Lytechinus pictus: one gene and its partner. The protein of the gene in region 2 purifies or fractionates together with the protein of the main gene of each other region. This does not show direct contact. Links are inferred from orthologs where the notes say so. Each region holds a gene or a part of one and is shown on either strand. Other genes may lie near its edges.

Region 1 (10,062 bases), on a different chromosome or scaffold from region 2:
GGAAAGGAAAATGGAAAGAGTAAAAGTGAAAGGATGGAAGAAATTAGGAAAGAAATAATTAGAGCGATCCAACCGAGGAAAGGAAGATTAATGACCTAATGAAAGGATGAAGAAAGAAAGAAAAAAAGAAAGAAAGGATTGATGGAAGCATTGATTGAAAGAAAGATGGAAGGAAAGAAAGAAAAGAAAAAAAAAACATGTTTCATTTTGGCTCAAACTGATACCTAGATCGAGTTTCGTAAGAAACCAACTTAATCAGCTCCACATGTGTTTTAGTGTGTGTTGATGCGGACGATGTCACCCGAAACCCGATCGTTTGGGGCCAAGAAAGGAGTAATAATTTCTTTTTTGATTACTTACAAATGAAAGAGTTGCACCATTTTTTAGGAAACATGGGCATAATAAGAGATTTCATTGGTGTAAAATGTGAAATTTTACAGTCCTTTGGGCAAAGTTACAGAACCAAACTTTGTAGCTGGGGTGTGCAGCACAGTGCATGTATACGGCGGGGTCAACTGGGCATTTTCGCCGTAGTGTAACGGCTCCCATTTGTGATTTTTTTCTGGCGCCCGGGCATACTAGTTTTCGAAGGAGCCAGGCGCAAAACCCTTTGAACCGGGAGCAAAATTGCGCCTGGCGCCCGGTTAATAAAAAGCTTGTTTATAACCATTATATTTAAGTTCATATATTCATAATAATCTTGAAAATAAGTATTCATTCTTAACCTTGGGTAGCCCTGATATTTACCTTAATCATGTGACCTGAAACTCCTGCCAAATGATCAGTGATACCTGATTATATGTCCAAGTTCCATGAAATAGGCCCTTAAAATTTTTAAATTATGATGAAATTTCAAATTTTTTTACTTCGGTTAAGATGCTGACACCATCATCGTCGGATGTATTATGGAAGCATAGTATACCCATTTCTGCTTGTCTAAAGTCCACTTATGGGTGATATAGAATATTCCATGAAAAGAATGAATTAATGAAATCATGATCAAATGAAACAATATCAATATAACGAAATCTTTTCATATGCATTACATTTATTAATCTCACCTTCATCAAAAGCCACTCTGAGTTTATCCAGATGGTCGTTCAAACTCACTGAAAAAGAAGAGGCAAATATAAGTATGTACGTGAAAAGTGATTCCTGAATTGGAAATCATACTTTTATACAACTTGTCTGGGTATGTTGGCACCAATTCCTCCAATCAGATGGACGATTGCTAATAAAAGTTGGTGCTAAAATAAAACAATTCTCACATTAATACATTGACAAGCAAACTTTGCTGTGCCTTTGTGCATTGCTCATTTTAGTGCAGTCTAAATTTCACCTTTTTAAAACACTTTAACATGCACTAAATAACCATTATACACACTCATTTCAAGCAGAACGAAATCAACCAAATATTTACAAAGTGCTCTTTTCTACAGAGTCCCACTCCTTATGATTAAACTTACCTGTATTTTCTTTTCCTATTCGTTTGACAGTTTCAAGATCATCAGTATCGGCTAGCTCTTCATTGATTTCCATCACCTCCATGAGGAATAACGGTTCTATATTACTCTCTCCTTCTTCTATTGAAAACCCTCTGAGCTCAAGCTGTGTATCAAAGAAACATAATAAACTGGATTTATCTAGCACCTTTTCCAAAGGACACAAACTGCTGCTTACAATGTTAAGTGACTTAAGATTTATCATATATGACTGTTTCAAAACATTTTCAATAGATCAAGGTAATGTTGCATCAAATTGGAACTTATTCCAAAGACATGGGGCAAGTGATTAAAAAGAATTGAAGCCAACTTGTTCTCTGAATTTGAGCATGACTGACATATCAATGAGCAGGTATAGAACAAGCATGTTGCTCTCTGTGTTGCTGAAAGAGTGGAGAGCCAAACCTGTTCAAAACCTTTTCACTCTTGTGCGTTAAAATGATTATGCAATTAAACAAGGAAATTATAAATATTAAATGAACTCCAGTAAATGTTTACAAGGCTATTAATCTTAAGAAATATTGAATAAATATGAAACCTAGCATTTCAAAGAAGAGCGGACCTAGGCTTATCATGGACTTAACCCGGATTAGCTTATAAATACCACCCAAAGACTTTATCATGAACGTTTGACCAACATGTTCATTTTCTATCAGTAAAACAAACACAACTTCATGATATTGCAATTAACACCCTTTGTATCATAGAAAAAGAAAACACTTAATTTAGTTAATTACCAAGTAGAGGCCTCTAGAAAGTGGTTTGAGAAGCACCTTGTAAGCTCGATTCACAGCCGATGACTGGGCAGCGGAGTAGTTCTGTTCTGTCTGTGTGAGAATAAATGAAAGGATAAGTTCTTGACCCTGCTTCTCCAAAGTCTCTGCAAATTGAATTACAGTTTTAAGGAGTCTCAACACGGTAAGTTCTTGGAAAAGTGAACATGAAATTGTTTGTGTATTTGAAGGAGATTCTACACAAATCATTAATTATGTGTAGTAAGAAATAATATTACCTGAACAGTTATTATGCACTCTATCTATGCATGATTTGAAATAATTTTGGGCACAGATTGCTGGAATGTATTCAGTGTGCATGCACTTTCTACAAAGTGCTGGGTCCTGTCAAATTTAAGTTACTACTGTCATGGCATCTTTACCATCCGCTGTCAACTTCCATTGAAACAATACCCAATCAGTATCCAGATGCAATGGGATATTCCATGGCAAAGAGACCATTTTGCCCAAGTCTGATGATGACATATAATCCTGAACTCAACCGACTTTGCCCTGACAACCAAAATAATGCATCTCACAATCCCATTTGAATGTATTTGAAATCACCACCTTTACATGAATTTAACATCAGAGCACTTAACTTCAAGTGACTTTCATTTTTTCAGTGAGCAAGGTGCATTGCTATATTATTGTATAGGCCTACATAAATTCACTTTTGCTCTTGGAGCCCCCCCCCCCCCCCATATAAAAATTACCACAAAAACAATACCCAAATACAATGGTTTTATAGAGAACACTGAATGGCTTTTCTTTTTTACCTCTGATTTATTGCTGAATTTGTCTGGGTGAAGCAACCTCTGAAGGTTTCTAAAGCAGTTGGTCAGGTCTTGAACTTCAACATCAAACTTCTCCTCCCTAAACAAGTACCAAATGAATTCAGTGCAACAATTAACATTCATTCAAAATTTCAAACTTAAAAAAAAAAAACAATTTTACATATAACGAGAAGAAAACTTAAAGGATTCTTCTTCCTGTAGACTTTCCTCTTTGGGATAAAGTGTGAAGCTCTCTAAATCCAGACTAACGGGGAAGCAAAAAAAGAAAGGCACTCACTCAGTATATAATGCGTGGCGGGTACGTGCCACAGAGAGGACCCCCATTTTTACATTGAGGAAAGGAACAAAGAAAGCCGCTCCAAAGCATATCACTTTCTTCTTATCGAGAAAAAAGAAGAAATTCGTTCCAAAGCTTTGCATATTTTTCGTTATGCTGTTCGGCCACATTGATCTGCGACAATGAGTTGCAATTTTGGTGAAAAGCAGCCGCACAGAGCTGTCCGACCATCGCCTCTGCGCAAGCGCACCTGGCGCCCATATCCCATGCCAGCGGGTTAGCTGCATGCACTTATGCCCGTATAGGGCGATGTTCGTGCAGGCACCACTCCACTTCACTACCTGACTACCGCTACACTACACTCCACCTGCCCGAACATCGATACCGTGAACTCTATCTGATATTCCGAGTGACAAAGGTGGGATTTTATGGGGGGAAATATAAAATTCATGCAACATCACGATCTTTAAAAACAATTAAAACTAATATTCTTACTATACACAAAGTTTCACTTCTTTGGCTTTGCCATGCTTCTATCAGTCTCAAAATTCGTGATTTAGAGCCAACATGAATTGAAGGTCCTCACACGTATAATTATTTGCTGCCGATTTCAAAACATCGCATGCGAGGCTCCAAAGCCCGTTTTTTGTCTCGCTGTGGCACATACCTACCAATTTTTTGGTCGAGCACCCCCCCCCCCCCCTCCGGGGCATCTCCTGTGCCATTTGTGGCATTAATATTTCGATCCCAGTTCAAGCCTTCTTCATCTCAAATAATCATGATAATATGCCCGATATCTGAATATCAATCTCTTCCCATCAATTTAGCACCTGATCATTCTCTTATTTAAACTGAACATCTTATTAAAATGTTTTCTGAAGCAAAAGAAGCATTACATTCCCATGATCTGAAAGTGGTTCAATCCGTCCTCCAGCGGCTGGATCATACTGCACGAGGCACAGAACAGAGCAGCGACGCGAGGTCCTCCACTGGACGTCTCAGACCGGGAGAGTTCGTCGTTGCAGTTCCAACAGCGTTTCGCAGAAGAGCAATACAAACGCTCTGTGACGATGATCATCCTGCTTCGTTGTCCATCATACGATTTTTTAGTGCATGACCAATTCGACAAGACTGATTTCATGTTTTGTCTCCTAGAGTATGTGCATGGTGAGCTGGAGATGAAGTTTCTTGAAGATATTCCTCTCTTTAATCTCATAATACTATTTGCACGTGACAGAGCCAGACGACAAGAGTTTATCCATGAAGCTGCCATGTTACTGACCATGCATAGCCATACATATGTGCGCATACAACAGAGCTATATATATAGCTAGCTAGCTCTGAATCGCGATCCGGTACCGTATATCCAGGGTCGACGTCGCAAGGGGGGGGGGGGGGGGGGGGGAGGACGAGAGACCCCTCGCCCCCTGGCCACTCAAGTTATTTTTTGAGAGTGGTGAAGCTCCTGTTTTTTACTTAATAATGCTATATCGGCCCAGAAAGAAAATAGTGGCAAACATCTTTGGATGAAAAATTCCTACTTTGCAAATAATTCATATTCCTCTTTATTTGGATATGAGATAAGTTTCAAAGCCCTATATAGTGGTTTGAATTCTGATCCGGTTCTGATCACCATCATCCATCCTTTTTCTGATCATCCATATAGGTCTATATGCTATTATAGTTCTAGATCACCTCTTGTTTAACCCTCGGGGGCACTCAAAAGGTGCAGGGCCGATGTTGTCTCTAAATCTGAAATCATACCCTTAAAGGAGTATAGGCATGATAGGTCTAGCTCCGGGATGAAAATAATATGATTTGGAGAGATCACTAAAAGTGTCATTAAAATGTGAGCTGCACGATCTCCACTCGATAACGCGTATAGCTGCTAATTCCACACGTGAAAAAGATTTACACACGTATTTCCATATTAAATTATACTTTTTTTTCTTTAAAAAAAGATCGCATTATTGTCCACCACTGAGATCATTTATAATAAGACTCCTCGTGCAATTAAATATTTGACTATTTCTTTTCATTCTTTTCATTTCGTTTATTAATTTCATTTTCATATTTCTCCTTTACATCTGATTCACATAAAAAGTAGCAACAATAATGCAAAACTATTAAATTATAAACAACTGAGAAGACATACAATAGCATAGTATAATGATGCAATCAGTCCAGTTAAGGTATATAGAAGCTTAGGCCCGTAAGTCAAAGAAATATGATCGGACATACATGAAAGCAAGGCTTGTAAAAAATTGCAGGCCCCGGTGAGATAAGTTGTAATTAATAGTGGAAGACGGATAATTATTTCATGACCTTAAATATGCAGATTGGAATTTTCAATTAAATACAGAACAAATGAAAGAAAAATATTTAAAGATATGAAATTGAAGTGGTCAAGGCATTACAAATTATCAACATACGGTGAATAGATATATCTTTCCATGACATGGCAAGTACGTACACCCGTATATAGGCCCTACATGTATGTACATAAATTAGTAAAATCATATCTGATATAATTATTACTGTCACATCACAATGTGCATATTGCTCAGCTGGTATACAGCAAGAGAAATACAGTTGTAACCAGAGAAAGAGCCCAAAAAAGACAAAACAAATACAAAACAAAAGACAACAGAAAAAAATACGAGGTATATGACTTACTAATCATGGAGATCAAGACAATGAAGAAAAAGCAGGTTCAAGAAATAATAAGTTGTTTTTAAAATAAATGTGCATCCTGTTATATCTGGCGGAAGAGTACGGTATGTATTTTGGTCTTGTGAATATTATTGTGTTTTTGTGTAAAAATTGTTCGAGTTAGAGTAAGATGGTATACTCTGACGCGTAGGATATGTGTGATATGATTGATTTTTTTTAACATTTGTGAAAAATTTTCTGGTAATTCGTCTTTAGATAAATGATACATGAATATACCAATGTTATATATATATAAAAGTCAATGACCTTTAGTATTTTGTTTTCATGAAAAAGTGATTTGTGTGACACAAGTACCCCGCGTGGTTTGCTTCTATGAAAAAATACACCATTCATTCTCCATGAACTATCAAAATTGAAATGAATAAAAAATATCTAATGCAAAGCCTATCCTTACAAAAGGAACTCGAAAGTAAAGTAAAATTTATAACTGAAAATTTTCGTGTTTGAAAAATAAAAAATTGACGTCTTCCCATGATAGCACCAATTCATGATGTATACTGCTTCATAATAGTATTTGTTTAAGAAATCTCGGGAAACTTGTGTAGAATAGGGCCCACTGCTTCGTATTGAATAGTATCTGTTAAAGAAATCTATGGAATTTTTGGAGATAAAATAATTTTCTAAAGTAAATATAATGTTCTAAAGTGATCAGAATCAGATGATTCATGTGAATGAATATTTTACTTCAACAATATCTTTTTGATTCTACGCACTTCATGTCGTTCATTATTTTAAATGCTCTCCAACTATTTCCTCATCGATAACAATGTCATGTCTGTTAATCAGTGATTTTGATTGAATTGATTTAGAACAATAATAGATCATTAATTGATCTCTTAATTCATTTAGTAGGCCTACTATACCATTTACACAATCTTTCGTACATATTTATGATGGCCGAACCCAGCGCGCAGGGGGCGGTGATGGGGGTGGACAATTAAGTGTTACACTTTTACTGAAAATTTTCACAAAATTTGTCAAAGTGTGCTCGCAAACCTTAGGTATTATAAAAAAAAATGACAAGCGCCTCCATGACAAGACTTCACTCCCTCGCTTTCGAGTTTTTTTTTAAATATGCGTCATGCCCCCCCCCCCCACTAAAAAACTTGGTGTACGGTCATGAAGGTCTATCCCTTAACTGTACTTGTTATTCATTTCTTCAATCATTATTGACTGAAAACAATACTCATTTCATTCATCTATAATCATTCATTCATTCATTTATTTACTTTAATGAAACCATGCATAAAGTGTAATTGATAAATATTATAGGGTAGCCTACTCATGTACTAGTGTATGTGTCTCCAACCAATCCTTGATGAATTTACATTAGAACTTTGTGACTGAGACTGTTGACTTGTTATGTGCATTGGCAACGCCTGTGTATTTTGATATGGGGAACAAGGTTGACATAAATGTAACTTTATTTCTTTTTCGGATTAAAATTTATGGATTTTTTTGTTATATATAATTATGTCTACTTTATGCTGCAGAAAAGTTTCGTGTCTCTTGTTTTGTTCGGCAAACTTTTAGTTATAAATAACACATTCATTGGGCAATTTTGACCATAGATGAATAATTTTAGTTGGTCACAGTTTCGACCAAAAGTTTGAGCGTTAAGCCCAAAAAACTTGTCTAATCCCTATTGGTTAAGGTTTTTTTTTTGTCCGACTGTTAAATGATTATGTTCAACATATAAGTTGGTCACATATTTTCTCTTCTGTTATTTATTTTAATTCCTTTTTTTAATCGGGGGGGGGGGGGGGTTGAACGCCTGCCCCTATATGGTACCGTCAGTGGCGTACCTAGGATTTTCCACAGGGGGGGGGGCAAATTCGTCCGCCAAAAAATTTGACAAGCAAAAAAAAAAAGGTCTTCAACCACAAATAAAGGGATTTCGTACCAGCAAAAAAATTGACAAGCAAAAAAAAAAAAAAAAAAAAGGGTCTTCGAGTTCAAAGGAGCGGGCCAGGGATCAGTTTTGACTCGTCAGGGGGGGGGGGGCAGGGATACGTCCCTTGCATGGGTTTTGACTCGTCAGGGGGGCAGTCTGCCCCCTCTGCCCCCCCCCCCGTAGGTACGCTAGTGGGTACCGTCCCGTCCCTGGTATAGTGGTATAGGCTATACAGTTTGCGTGTCTTCTCCCGGACGATATTCAACTTGTCGGATGTGACTAAATCTATTCCTTCCGGTTTGGTTGGTCAGTAAAGTTACAAGTGCACTGATATTTCCAAAGAAAAAGAAGACGTGATTAATTTTAGAAACAAACGAGTCATTAATTTGTTCCCTTAATTAATTGCAACGTAAGACTACGTGACCGATCCTAGTACGGTTGAGTAAACACGATTAGGATGTGACAATGATTCAGATACAAAAACGATGATAATTATGTTCAAGTTAGATATTTCTATTTGTTTATAATTAGTACCTTCATCAAGTTCAAATACCGATTACGTGAACCCAGGGGCGGATCCAGGATTTTTCAAGGGGGGGGGGCAAATTTTTCGGAGGAAAATTTTGAGAATATTTAGCACCCGAAAAAAAAATTTACAAGCAAAAAAAGGTCTTCAATTTCAAAAGAGGGGGCACACCTCTGTTTTAATGGCATTTTTACATTTTAATTCTTAATTGCCCCCCCCTGGATCCGCCAGTGCGTGTATTATCACCTTATGTATTTAGGAAGGCCATCTTGTATATATTTCCCTCAAAAGGTTCCTTTAAAAGTATTAAGGCATCCAACGATTTATATGGGGATTGGACCTGTAAATGCAAATTATAATATTTGAGTATACCCGAAAATGATCTTAGGAAAATATTGAGCAGTAGCCCCCAATCACAAATCACTATGTCAGTGCTCAAATGTAGAGCCCAGTACATAGTACCATTCATTAATTGCGACCTAATTTCAAATAAATTGTAAAAGCATTTTAAATGAAAATTCCACCTATTAAAACGATCAAATCCAAAATATTGGGATGAATAATTGAATCGAAAATCAAGCCTATATTTCGAGCCTCTGTGTAGAATTAAAGTTCAATTGCAAGTCGTATTAACTTGACGTCATCATCGGATGCGAGTTGAAGCTGAACTAGACTTTACTCCGACCACAATGTTTGCAACCAAGTAGAATTCCGATTTAATCATTCCTTTGATTGCACCTAATTGCGAAATATAATATAGTTTTTCTTCATGAAATTTCATATTAATGCGAAAATGCGACTTGTAAATAAAAAAAGAGTCGTTTTGGATCGTGTAGTGTGTACCGGGCGTATGGGACTATATAGGCGATTTCGTTACCTTGACAAAACTTTTAGAAATCTAAGCGCCTTAAAGATCATTAAAAAAAAAAACCTGGTTGATATGATCAGAATGGAAATAAAAAAGTGATTTTTGTAATTTTTCAAAAATGATGTTTTCTAAATAATGAATTGAGATAAAGTCATAAAAGAGAGAAGTAAGAATAAAGAGAAAGTGATTTAATTACTGTAAATGAAAGAAGAATAGGTCTACGACAAGTTTACGCCAACCAAATTAGTGTTTACAATCATCTATATCTGGATTGTCTTTAAAAACGGGGAATGTCCTTTTACTTTACCTTCGTTTTCAATGCGTCACAGGCACTGATGTTAGTGGAGAGAGATCAGTGGTCACAGGGTCTAGTCGTAGTGTTTCGGGCTATTGCAATCAAAACACCACCAACCACATTTCCTGCACTATCAAGAATTATCCAATCAGCAACGGTGTAACGCCATTCACCGTGTGATTGGGCTGTACGTGTATGAGCAGCTAATCATCGAAGAGCTTCTATCTTTCTGCAGCATAACATTACCGACCAGCGGAATGGTCAACAGAAAACTCGAATGATGGGTCATTATCAAACTGAGGCAATTTGGCTAAGAATGTTCTACAATGTCGGCTCTTAACCTGCCTGCACGAAAGGAGTTTTAGAATCATTAAGGATGACAATAATGATTCAAAGT
Region 2 (10,778 bases):
TGTACCACCAAAAAACCTGAAACTTTCGCCCCCGAGATTTCTACTTTCTTTCTAAAAGATCTAGCCCTAAATCATGTACATGGGATAAAACTTCATTTCCGACATTTCTACGCTCTCGTTGTTATTTTTGAACAAGAATTCATCAAAAAAATGAGAGAAATATTGTGCAAAGACGGAAGAGACTTGCCCGATGTTTACGCCGCCATCTTGTTTCCTATTGTTCTTCGCCAACGTTACAGAACTTCTGAAGCCAGGAGGGTCACAGGGGTTCATGGCCCACGTACGTGCAGTCGCCGCTGGCTAACGTCAGCTTAATGGACGCCGCCATATTGCCAGATTCAGGCAGATTTGGCCCGCGCCCTCTCCGGCTAACGCTCGGCTAAAGCTCGAACGCCATTCACCCATACACTAATTCCCCTTGATTACCGTTGTTAAAAACCTCTGTCAAATCTTTTCCAGCATTTTTATGAATTAGCGATTGATGTTTTTCCGTTTATCAGATATCCTTCATTATACACATATTTTTTTCATATTTATAACATTTTTATTTTAATCACAATTTTAGTCCAAACGCGGGTCAGTTTTTGTTAACCCACGTTGTTTGTGCATGCCCACGTATAGCCTTACGCGTATTGAAAGGAATGATGTTGGGTCGAAAAACAGAATTGTTATTGTTTGTTCCTTGTTTGTTGGGGATGAAACTATGATGGCGACCAGTCACGTTTGACTGTACCGCCAAATAGTTAAGATTAATTAATTAAGGTCAAGGTGAGATAAGAGAAATGAGCAAGGGGCATTGTGGTGGGGGAGGGGGAGAGGGAGAGAGGGGGGGGGGGGGGTTACGAGGGCCGAGTGGGGATACAGTTTCATCATGCAGTACAGGGCGTCGATGAACACTTTTATTTTTTTCTCCAAAATATGGAAAGTGACAGAATAATCAGAAAAAGGTTGATTGGTTCTGATTTTGAAAAAAAAAACAGAATTTATCAAGATTGCTGTTATTCTTCATGGTTGTAGAATTTAATTTAGTTTCTCTGATAAGTATAATTCTTTCAAACAACTCAAATTTTGATTAATCGTATTTCATTTATTTCACTCTTTTCTTTCGCCTCGTTTTTTTTTCTTCCAAAAAACCAGGGAGCTGAAAAATATGAGAGCTAGAACCTAAAGATATGGGGTAGCTATGACGTTGGAGGGGGCGCAGCCTCATGCACTTGCAGATCCAAATCAATTTTCACAGGGGACACTTAGAGTAGCCCCTATTTCTTTAATATTATTTTTACAAGCAAAAAGAAGTCAATGAAGACATCAGGCCACCGACAGCTGCCTCGTCAAAGGGGGGGGGGGGTCGATTATTTTGAGTATTTTTTTTTTATTTTGTCCTCAATAAGGGGGGGGGGTTCAATTAATTCTATATACACTTCTATTGTCTTTATATATGGGGGGGTCTGCTACTGAGCATGTTTTTAAAAGGGCTTAATAAGGGGCTTAATACAACAGAAATTGTACGATTTAATACAATAAAATGTATCATCGAGGTTAATACTAAATTAATACATAATTAATAATTGTTTTAATTGAAAATGAAAATAATAAAGGCACCCATAGATCTTAACATCTCATAAATACAGGCCTAAACCTGTATTGGAAGTTGAACAGGCATAAAGTATAAATGTTTAGCTATATAGCTGATGCTTTGATCCCGCAACCAAATAATGTTATCATAAACTAGTAGATGTTATATCAGTCATGTCAGTGGCGTAACAAGTGAAAATAATTGAGGGTACTACGATATGGCGTATCAGGCAAAATTTATAAAATATATAGTTGCAAGCAAGCGACATAAGCATAATTTTGACTTTTGGTTACAAAAATCCAATTGAACAATTTCGCAAGATTCTCTTACCTTTTCCTTTTTTTTCTTGTTCGTGAATTGGGGGCATGCAAGACCCCACCCCCCCCCCCCCATACAGCACCACTCTTTGTTGTCACTGTCTAAAATTTGATTTAAACTTTGAGAATTTGAATTTCTTATCTAAGTAATCCAAAGGGATAAGACAAAAATATTTGCAGATTACTTATTTCAAAGTATTTTTATACCTATAACTCCCCAACTCTGCTCTAGCTGCACTGCACGTTGCCTAACGGCCTTCCACCAAAGGGCCAGGCCGACTCGCCCCGTGAGCAAGTGACCGCGTTCGCGTAAGTTCACCCGAAGCCATGACTGAATTCTGACCATAAACATCACCTAACTAATCACTCTCTGACAATATTTCAAAGTATCTTTTATTACAGTCGATCCTTTGGGCCATTAAACGATAATATTTCCAATGTTATCATGACAAACAATTTTAATGAGATAGTGGCATTGTAGAAAAAACAAATTTATAAGCACGAAATGGCACCAGATAAATCATCAAACATACAGCGCAGCGTTCGGGACTGGTGAGTGGTACGGCTCTCTTGGAGTTTTCGCCCCGACGAATTCGGCGAAAACGCTACCATTGCGCCGTGCGAATGTTCAATCTGCGGCTCTCAATCAGAGACTTGAATGTCTCTTTTTGCATTATCGAAAATGTATCATAGACTTTGTTTGATTTGTTTACAAGTAAGTTGCATATCCGTCGTGATAATTAGGAAAATCCATGATGTCTTCTTCTAATTCTGTAAAAATTACCTCTTCAAAGTGCCTGTGTCAGAAAATTGCCGGAAATCGTAAAAACTTGCCTAAAATGTCTCTTTTTGAAAGTTCATCCATGGTCTGGAAAAAAATGTTATAATTTATGTAGACGTATACCGTAAACAAATACATCCTCGATCACTGAAATGAAGTGTTTGCTAAGCTTTTATATCTCAGACCGCGTTACCATGGCAACTTGGGAAAACCTTCATTTTTTACTAATAAAATTCTGGTTTTAAGGGTCATTTTAGAGACATAAAACTAACCATATTTTGAAGTATTGGGTTTAAATTTCAGGAACAACTGCAGAATACCCCGCACGACGAGAGCATGGATGTTTGAATCGACCAACGACCTACGATGTGATGAAAGGATGTTGGAACAAAGCCGAGTTGTGACTAAAATTCGAACTTGTTTACGTCAAGCCAACGATTGATTACGCGATTTTTGCATAGGGCATGCCGCCAACGAGCCAACGATGCCAACGTTGTGAGATTGGCATGCTACCAACGAGCCAACGATGCCAACGTTTTGACTTGCGTTGGCTTGCTACCAACGAGCCAACGATGCCAACGATGTGAGTTTGGCATGCTGTCAACGAGCCAACGTTGTGAGTTTGGCATGCTGCCAACGAGCCAACGATGCCAACGTTGTGAGTTGCATTGGCTTGCTGCCAACAACGTTGGCAGCACGTTGTGAGTTTGGCATGCTACCAACGAGCCAACGATGCCAATGTTGTAAGATTGGCATGCTACCAACGAGCCAACGATGCCAACGTTGTGAGTTTGGCATGCTGCCAACGAGCCAACGATGCCAATGTTGTAAGATTGGCATGCTACCAACGAGCCAACGATGCCAACGTTGTGAGTTTGGCATGCTACCAACGAGCCAACGATGCCAACGTTGTGAGTTTGACATGCTACCAACGAGCCGACGATGCCAACGATGTGAGTTTGGCCTGCTGCCAACGAACCAACGATGCCAACGTTGTAAGTTTGGCATGCTGCCATCGAGCCAACGATGCCAACGATGTGAGTTTGGCATGCTACCAACGAGCCAACGATGCCAACGATGTGAGTTTGGCCTGCTGCCAACGAGCCAACGATGCCACGTTGTGACTTTGGCATGCTACCAACGAGCCAACGATGCCAACGTTGTGACTTTGGCATGCTACCAACGAGCCAACGATGCCAACGTTGTGAATTTGGCATGCTACTAACCCTAACCCTAACCCTAACCCTAACCCTAACCCTATGCACATAGTAGGAACATCGTAGGTCGTTGGCTCGCCAACGGTATGCGCGCGATCGCGAGAGTACAAGCATGCGCGCGTGTATTCGTATGGCTCGGAAGTACAGTACCGGTACGGGTCGTATCGTAAAAACTGACAAGACAACGAATCTTCAGCCCGTTCAGGATCGATCACGTCGAGATTGATTCTGATTCTTCACATCGTAGGTCGTTGGCTCGCCAACGTTGAGGTAATGAAATGTGCGGGGTATTCTGCAGTTAAGCCAATATTCACATAAAACTGAATTATCTATGTTTATACTTTCGTATATGAATATTCATATTTCTTGTAGAATCTTAGTTTTTGATTGGTCAATGTTTCAGTCATGGATAATAACTGAGCGTTAAAAAATCTGAAAATGCGCATTTTATCGGCAACCAACAAGCAAGATGGCGGAACACATTAAGTTGGCGCTATGCACGTACGTGGGCCCAGCGCATAAAGTAAAGAGTTAAGAAAGGCCTAGGCTACATAGTTCCCTAGGCATGGGACTGTAATAAAACAATTTTGGAGAACCAGCTAGATCTAACTTTACAATACATATAATTCATTATACTAACAATATATAACTAACTTTTTTTTTATAGATATCAGAAAAATATTTTGGTTAATAGAGTAAACTTACATTTCGCTGGAGGACTGTCTGAAAAGACTGGCGACAGCCTGATATTAACCTTGCAACATGGGCCATTACGAAGGGTGAAAAGGGTGGATCTAAATGGAAAAACCACGAACACAAATTAATTTTAAAATGATGGCGCTATTGCTATTGCTCGAGCTGTCTTTTTCACTGCACTTTCTTGAGCCGGGGCCTTGAGCTAGCTAGGAGGAGGTGTTTTTTTATAGTTTTTTTTAGGGGGTGGGGGTGGTAACTCTCGTATACGAAGCCAGGCTAGAGGACACAGGGACATGTCCCCCATGTTGATAGGCAGATAAAAACAACAATGAAAAAAATATAATAACCGGGTCGGATAAAAATAAAAAAGAGAAGAAGATAATAAGATATAAATATAATGATCCATAATTATGTTGACTGGCCACTATCCACAACTTAGATATTGATGTGTGTTCGAATTTAGGAGATACTTTCTGTCATGCGTGTTATATATATTTTTTTATTGACAAAAAAAAATACGATTGGTTTTGGTTTATTGCTTGCTTGCTTGCTTGATTGGTTTGATTGATTGATTGATTGATTGATTGATTTAATTTGCCAACGGCCATGGTCTGTGAAAAAAAATGATAATGGAAGTAAGCTGAGGAATAATTCACGATAGCTCTGAACTTTTTACAATCATCATAATCATTTTTGTGCTCCCTCTTTATCATCATAGGCATACTTTTTGTCAAATGATTCATCCTAAAATGATGATGTTCAACTAATGGGGGATGATAACATAGGACAACTCACCCGTGACATAAGTTGGGGGATATATCCCCCCCCCCGCGATCTACATCCATGCCCCGAAGCTTATTTCGAGAAGGGCCCTCGACATGTAAGAAAAAATCCATAACAAGGCACTCTGAAGGAATACAAAGTCAATAATACAGGCGTGAAGCGTATAGCTGACATTAAATTTATATATAGGATTGACCTGAAAACTGAACATTTATTGTTAAGCGCTTTTTGATATTGTGAATACAATGCATATGCCACCAAAATGAATAGGCCGACCTAAAGTGACTATTTATATCCTTGAACAGAGTACTTATCCCACTATAGACAAAAATTACCAACGCGAAGAGCGAGCTGTTTCTTTTAACCAACATTCAGACCTATGAACTGCACTATTTATAGGACAAGTCCACCCAAGAAAAATATTAATGTTGATTTGAATCAATAGAACAAAATCTAACAACCATAATGTTGAAAAGTTCATCAAAACCGGATGTGAAAAAAGTTATATGACATTTTAAAGTTTTGCTCATTTTTCACATAATAGTTATATGCACAACTTAGTGACGTGCAAATGAGAGATATGATGATGCCCCTCACTCACTGTTGTTTTTGTTTGAATTATACTATAATTCATTTTTTTGTGTACAAATTTGACAATAAGGCCAACTTGATTGAACCATAATGTTGCCCACGTTTCAGTACAATTCTTCACAAACCAGCTTCCTTTATTCATGGCTCAAACATGTCAAGTTGCCAAGAAACTGAAGAAAGGTTCCAAAACAATATAATTCCACATATTCTGGGGAAAATATGCTCACATTACCATGCTGGATAACATTAAAGAACATTTCATATTTCACAATAAAATAAGGAAATAGTGAGTGCTATAGGTGACGTCATCAATCCCCTCGTTTTGACAGACGAAATTACGCGAAACTTAAAAATTTCATAACTTTCTTATTTTACCTCCGATTTTGATGAAACTTTCAGTGTTAAGCTTGTTGGATTTTTCTCTATTTATTTAAATCAACTTTTTATTGGGGTTGACTTGTTGTTTTGTAATTGTAACACTTGAAATATTATAGTAGCGTGGTGATTGTTCAGTGTTACAAGAATGATGAGACAAATCAATAGTCTGCCACACAATGATTACCATGATTACAGTTCATTAGTATTTTATATTCCAAAGATGATAAATACCAATCATAAGATGTATATACCATAGGAAATATAGCTGGTTATAAAAAGGCTGTTATAATATTAGGTACTCCCCCAACAAAGGCCATATGGTAACCCCTAAAGAGGGATGGCGAGGGAGACCAAGCACGCATGCAGTGTCCTCTCGTCAAGAGACGGAGAAGAGAAGTCCTCTTTTAATTATTTTGGGGGTACATCTCTTAGTTTTGCACCATTAGGGGGGAGGAGTTAAACAATGTATAAACTAATCAGGAAAGAAGGATGGAGCATAACAAAAATGAAAGGGTATTTGCACCTGAAGTCAGGGAGCAATTATCTGGGAAGGAGGTTGGATGGAGGATAAAGTATATTCTCATTATGGTATCTTAGGAGGAATTATAAACACAATGCGGGACATAATGCAAGGATAAGGCCACCACATCAATCTGTGCAAACAGGTGATGGGTGTGTGGTCATTAATTTTGCTCTAAACAAAAGGAGTTGTGTCAATGGACAAAAGAGCATTGAACTTACTTTCGACCAATTTACTATCTGGAGTTTGTGAGTTTACACAAACGTCCAAGCATGTTTAAAAGTATAATCAGTTTTACAAAAATATGGAATGCAGGGTGTTATAATAATCATGAACATGATTTGTAACTGAATGAACCTTACTATAGCTCGATCGAAAATAATCACTGCTTCACCATGTTATCCTCATGAATGCGAATGCATTGGCAAGATTGCTATATATGCTAATTTGCTTCCTCTTCAGATTTTCTTCCTCTTCTTCAATTTCCTTTTTTTTTCTGTTCCCCCCTCCCCCCCCCCCCCCCGTCTCCCCTCGTTTTGTGCAGCCTGTAATAGCGGACCGCTATATATACAGCGTCTCCCTGATCAGCCGAGATGTCTTATAATTCCAATCCCTTAAAGGACAGGTCCATCCAAACAAAAAGTTGATTTGAATAAAAAGAGAAAATGCCAACAAACATAACACTGAAAATTTCATCAAAATCGGATGTAAAATAAGAAAGTTATGACATTTTAAAGTTTCGCTTAAATTCACAAAATAGTTATATGCACATCCCGGTTGGTATGCAAATGAGGAGACTGATGACATCATCCACTCACTATTTCTTTTGTATTTTATTATATGAAATATGAAATATTATAATTTTCTCTTCATTGTCAAGTGAAAAAAAAAACAATAATTCCTCCCTGAACAGGGACCTGGGAAGCGGGGGTGTATGGGGGTGCTGCGTGTATTATTTTCCATAGGCAGCACCCCCACGAAATCGGGTTCCCCCCTGTATTTTTTAAAATATGTTATAATGTACATAATTATCACTTCCGACAATCGCAAATCATTTACATAGTCTTTCACATATTCCAATAACATCCCTCCTATAACGCGACTCAATCAAGCTCCAGCGGGGCAGCACTCCAAAACAGACGGAGTCGCGCGCAATACGTGATAACCATACACACTCTTCGATATCAGGGAAGGACATGGGGGTGGTTGGACTCGAATCAAGTGAGCCCGCGCCCGACCGCCCGTGTATTGTATACAAAAATTAAAAGTCAGATAATATAAATCAAATTTCAGTCTTTTTCGCCCTGCCCCATGGCCCTGGGGGCTGGGAAGCGGGGGTGCTGGGGGTGAAGCAACTCCAAAATTTTAGGGTGCTGCGTGTGTTATTTTCCATAGACAGCGCACCTCCTGGAAATCTAGTGGTAGGTATGATAAATGACAGAAATGTAATGAAAATGAACGACGTTTTGTAGAACCCCCCCCCCCCCCCACTTCAGAATTTTCCGACACATTACTTGAAATAGTGTTTAAATTCACCCTCTTTCAGATCGGAATATCTAATATTTTCTGCTCGCGCTTCGCGCTCGCATTATTGATTTTTATAATAAAAAAAGTGTATTTAGAATGCCCAGATACTAGGTCGAACTCTAAACACGCGCAGGCATGTTTATTCAGATACGCAGCTTGATTGGGGGGGGGGGGTACTCCGGGCTGAAAATATTTATATCAAATACATTTTATCAAAAATGAATAAATTTTATCAAAATCTGATAACCATTAGTTAAATTATTTAATTCTAAAGTTTAGCAATATTTTATGAAAATGGTGATATGCATGTCGTCATAAATATTTCATAGGTGGGCTGATGCTGTGACATTCCCAATATCCTGTTTCTTGTGAAATCAAAATTGTTTCATTTTTTTCATACCAGAGTGAATGATATGTCTCCCTTATAATGAAATAAGTTGCAGCAAATAATATCTTATGGACTAAATCAGTTGTCAATTCAACTGTTTTAGTTCTTGAAAGAAAAATATTGAATAAACCTAATTTTATATAATAAAATACAAAAGAACAAGTGGGGATATGACATCACCAGTTTGCTCATTGAATATTAATGAAGACATGCCTAAAACTGTTTCACTGGAATAATGCTAATCTTTAAAATGCAATAACTGTGATATTCCTTGTCTGATTTTGATCAAATCTTTATTCTTATGTTCGTCTGAGTTTTCTTTATCTGTTCAAACCATTTTACATTCAGTGTGGAGTTTCAGATCAGAATATCAAAAAAATTTCTGCTCGCGCTTCGCGCTCACATTATTAATTTAAGAATATATCCAATTACCCATCATTTTCTAGATTTACAAAACATGAATAGAATGTCCCGTTTTCAGGTCTGAAATCTCAATTTTGTTTCCGCGCGCGCTTTGCGCTCGCATCAATTGTATAGTTATATACCTATCCTGTTCATGATTAGAAAAGTGCATTAGATGTCTCGTTTTTAGGTTTGAAATCTCATTTTTATTTCCGCTCGCGCTTCGCGCTCGCATCAATTGTATAGTTTTATAGCTATCCTCATTATGATTAGAAAAGTGCTTAGAATCTCTCGTTTTTCTGGTCTGAAATCTCAATTTTGTTTCCGCTCGCGCTTCGCGCTCGCATCAATTGTATAGTTATATACTTATCTTGTTCATATTTACAAAACGTGCTTAGAATGTCCAGTATTTAGGTCGGAATGTCAAATTTTAAGCTCGCGCTTCGCGCTCGCATTATTTGATTGTTGATATATGTATCATCTTCATGGGTAACTGCAAAACAGTCCTTATAACACGTCCCTTTCGATCAGGCCATGCAGAGCGTATATAAAAAATATCTGCTCGCGCTGATCGCGCTCACAATAATTATTTGTTACATACGCATCTTGGACCACAAACATTGCTCAAAATGTTCAATTTTCAGGACAAAATACATGAAATTTCCACAAAAAATAGCTCGCGCTTCGCGCTCAAATTATCTAATTATATATTTATGTTCTTTTATAAGAAGAAAGCTAAGAAGTGACTGTCATATGTATATTTATATATATATATATATGTGTGTGTGTGTGTGTGTGAGGGTGTGTGTGTGTGTGTAATTATGGAAAACTCAATTGTGTCTGTCCCCCCCTCACCTTTGAGGAGAGATTTCAGCACCCCCACTGAAAAAATCGTTCCCAGGTCCCTGTCCTTGAACATATGGAATTAGCATTGTTTAATACAATATGGTTCAGTCAAGTTGGTCCATATTGTCAAATTTGTAAAAAATGAAATATTGTATAATTCAAACAATAAAAAAACAAAAGAAATAGTGAGTGAGGGACATCATCGACTGTCTCATTTGCATGTCACTGAGTTGGGCATATCACTGTTTTTTGAAAAATAAGCGAAAATTTAAAATGTCATAACTTTCTTATTTTACATCCGATTTTGATGAAATTTTCAGCGTTATGCTAGTTTGATTTTTCTCTATTTATTCAAATCAACTGTGATTGATTGGTGGAATTTTTTTTTACCTGATTGCTAAGAAAGCATGAATGCTTGTAAGCAAGCAACCAGAGGACCGACGGCTTAAGGTCCCCTCCGAAGGACCTGGTACTGAGGATTAATGCCTTACCAAAGGGCACTAGCGCACCAAGTGGGAATCGAACCCGGGTCACCGGAATACGAGTCCCCCGCTCTACCGACTGAGCTATCGCGCCTTTTCCTGTGGTGGACTTGACCTTTAAGATCATTTTCTTTTTATTTAAGCGTTGGAGGAGGCAAGGGCTCAAGTTAAAGCTCCCAGAATTCTAATTTTGCAAGAAAAAAATAGCACTGTTATTTCTTCTCTGCCACGCTTTTTCCTTAATTTGCATTTATTGATTTTCTTCCTCTCATTC

The links.
Region 1: the proteins of succinate--CoA ligase [GDP-forming] subunit beta, mitochondrial-like (region 2) and iron-sulfur cluster co-chaperone protein HscB-like purify together in Homo sapiens (affinity purification with mass spectrometry; 3 studies listed by BioGRID and IntAct, with this or other methods). This does not show direct contact. The link is inferred for Lytechinus pictus from reciprocal best matches to the Homo sapiens genes SUCLG2 and HSCB.

What each region holds. Positions count from the first base shown.
Region 1 is NC_087246.1:19,727,370-19,737,431, reverse strand, and holds the start of iron-sulfur cluster co-chaperone protein HscB-like, read right to left. Parts: upstream 4,646-10,062; 5' UTR 4,635-4,645; coding exon 4,246-4,634; intron 3,152-4,245; coding exon 3,055-3,151; intron 2,330-3,054; coding exon 2,240-2,329; intron 1,609-2,239; coding exon 1,467-1,608; intron 1,110-1,466; coding exon 1,062-1,109; intron 1-1,061.
Region 2 is NC_087247.1:36,257,960-36,268,737, reverse strand, and holds the start of succinate--CoA ligase [GDP-forming] subunit beta, mitochondrial-like, read right to left. Parts: upstream 4,725-10,778; 5' UTR 4,663-4,724; coding exon 4,597-4,662; intron 1-4,596. UniProt on the Homo sapiens protein: GTP-specific succinyl-CoA synthetase functions in the citric acid cycle (TCA), coupling the hydrolysis of succinyl-CoA to the synthesis of GTP and thus represents the only step of substrate-level phosphorylation in the TCA.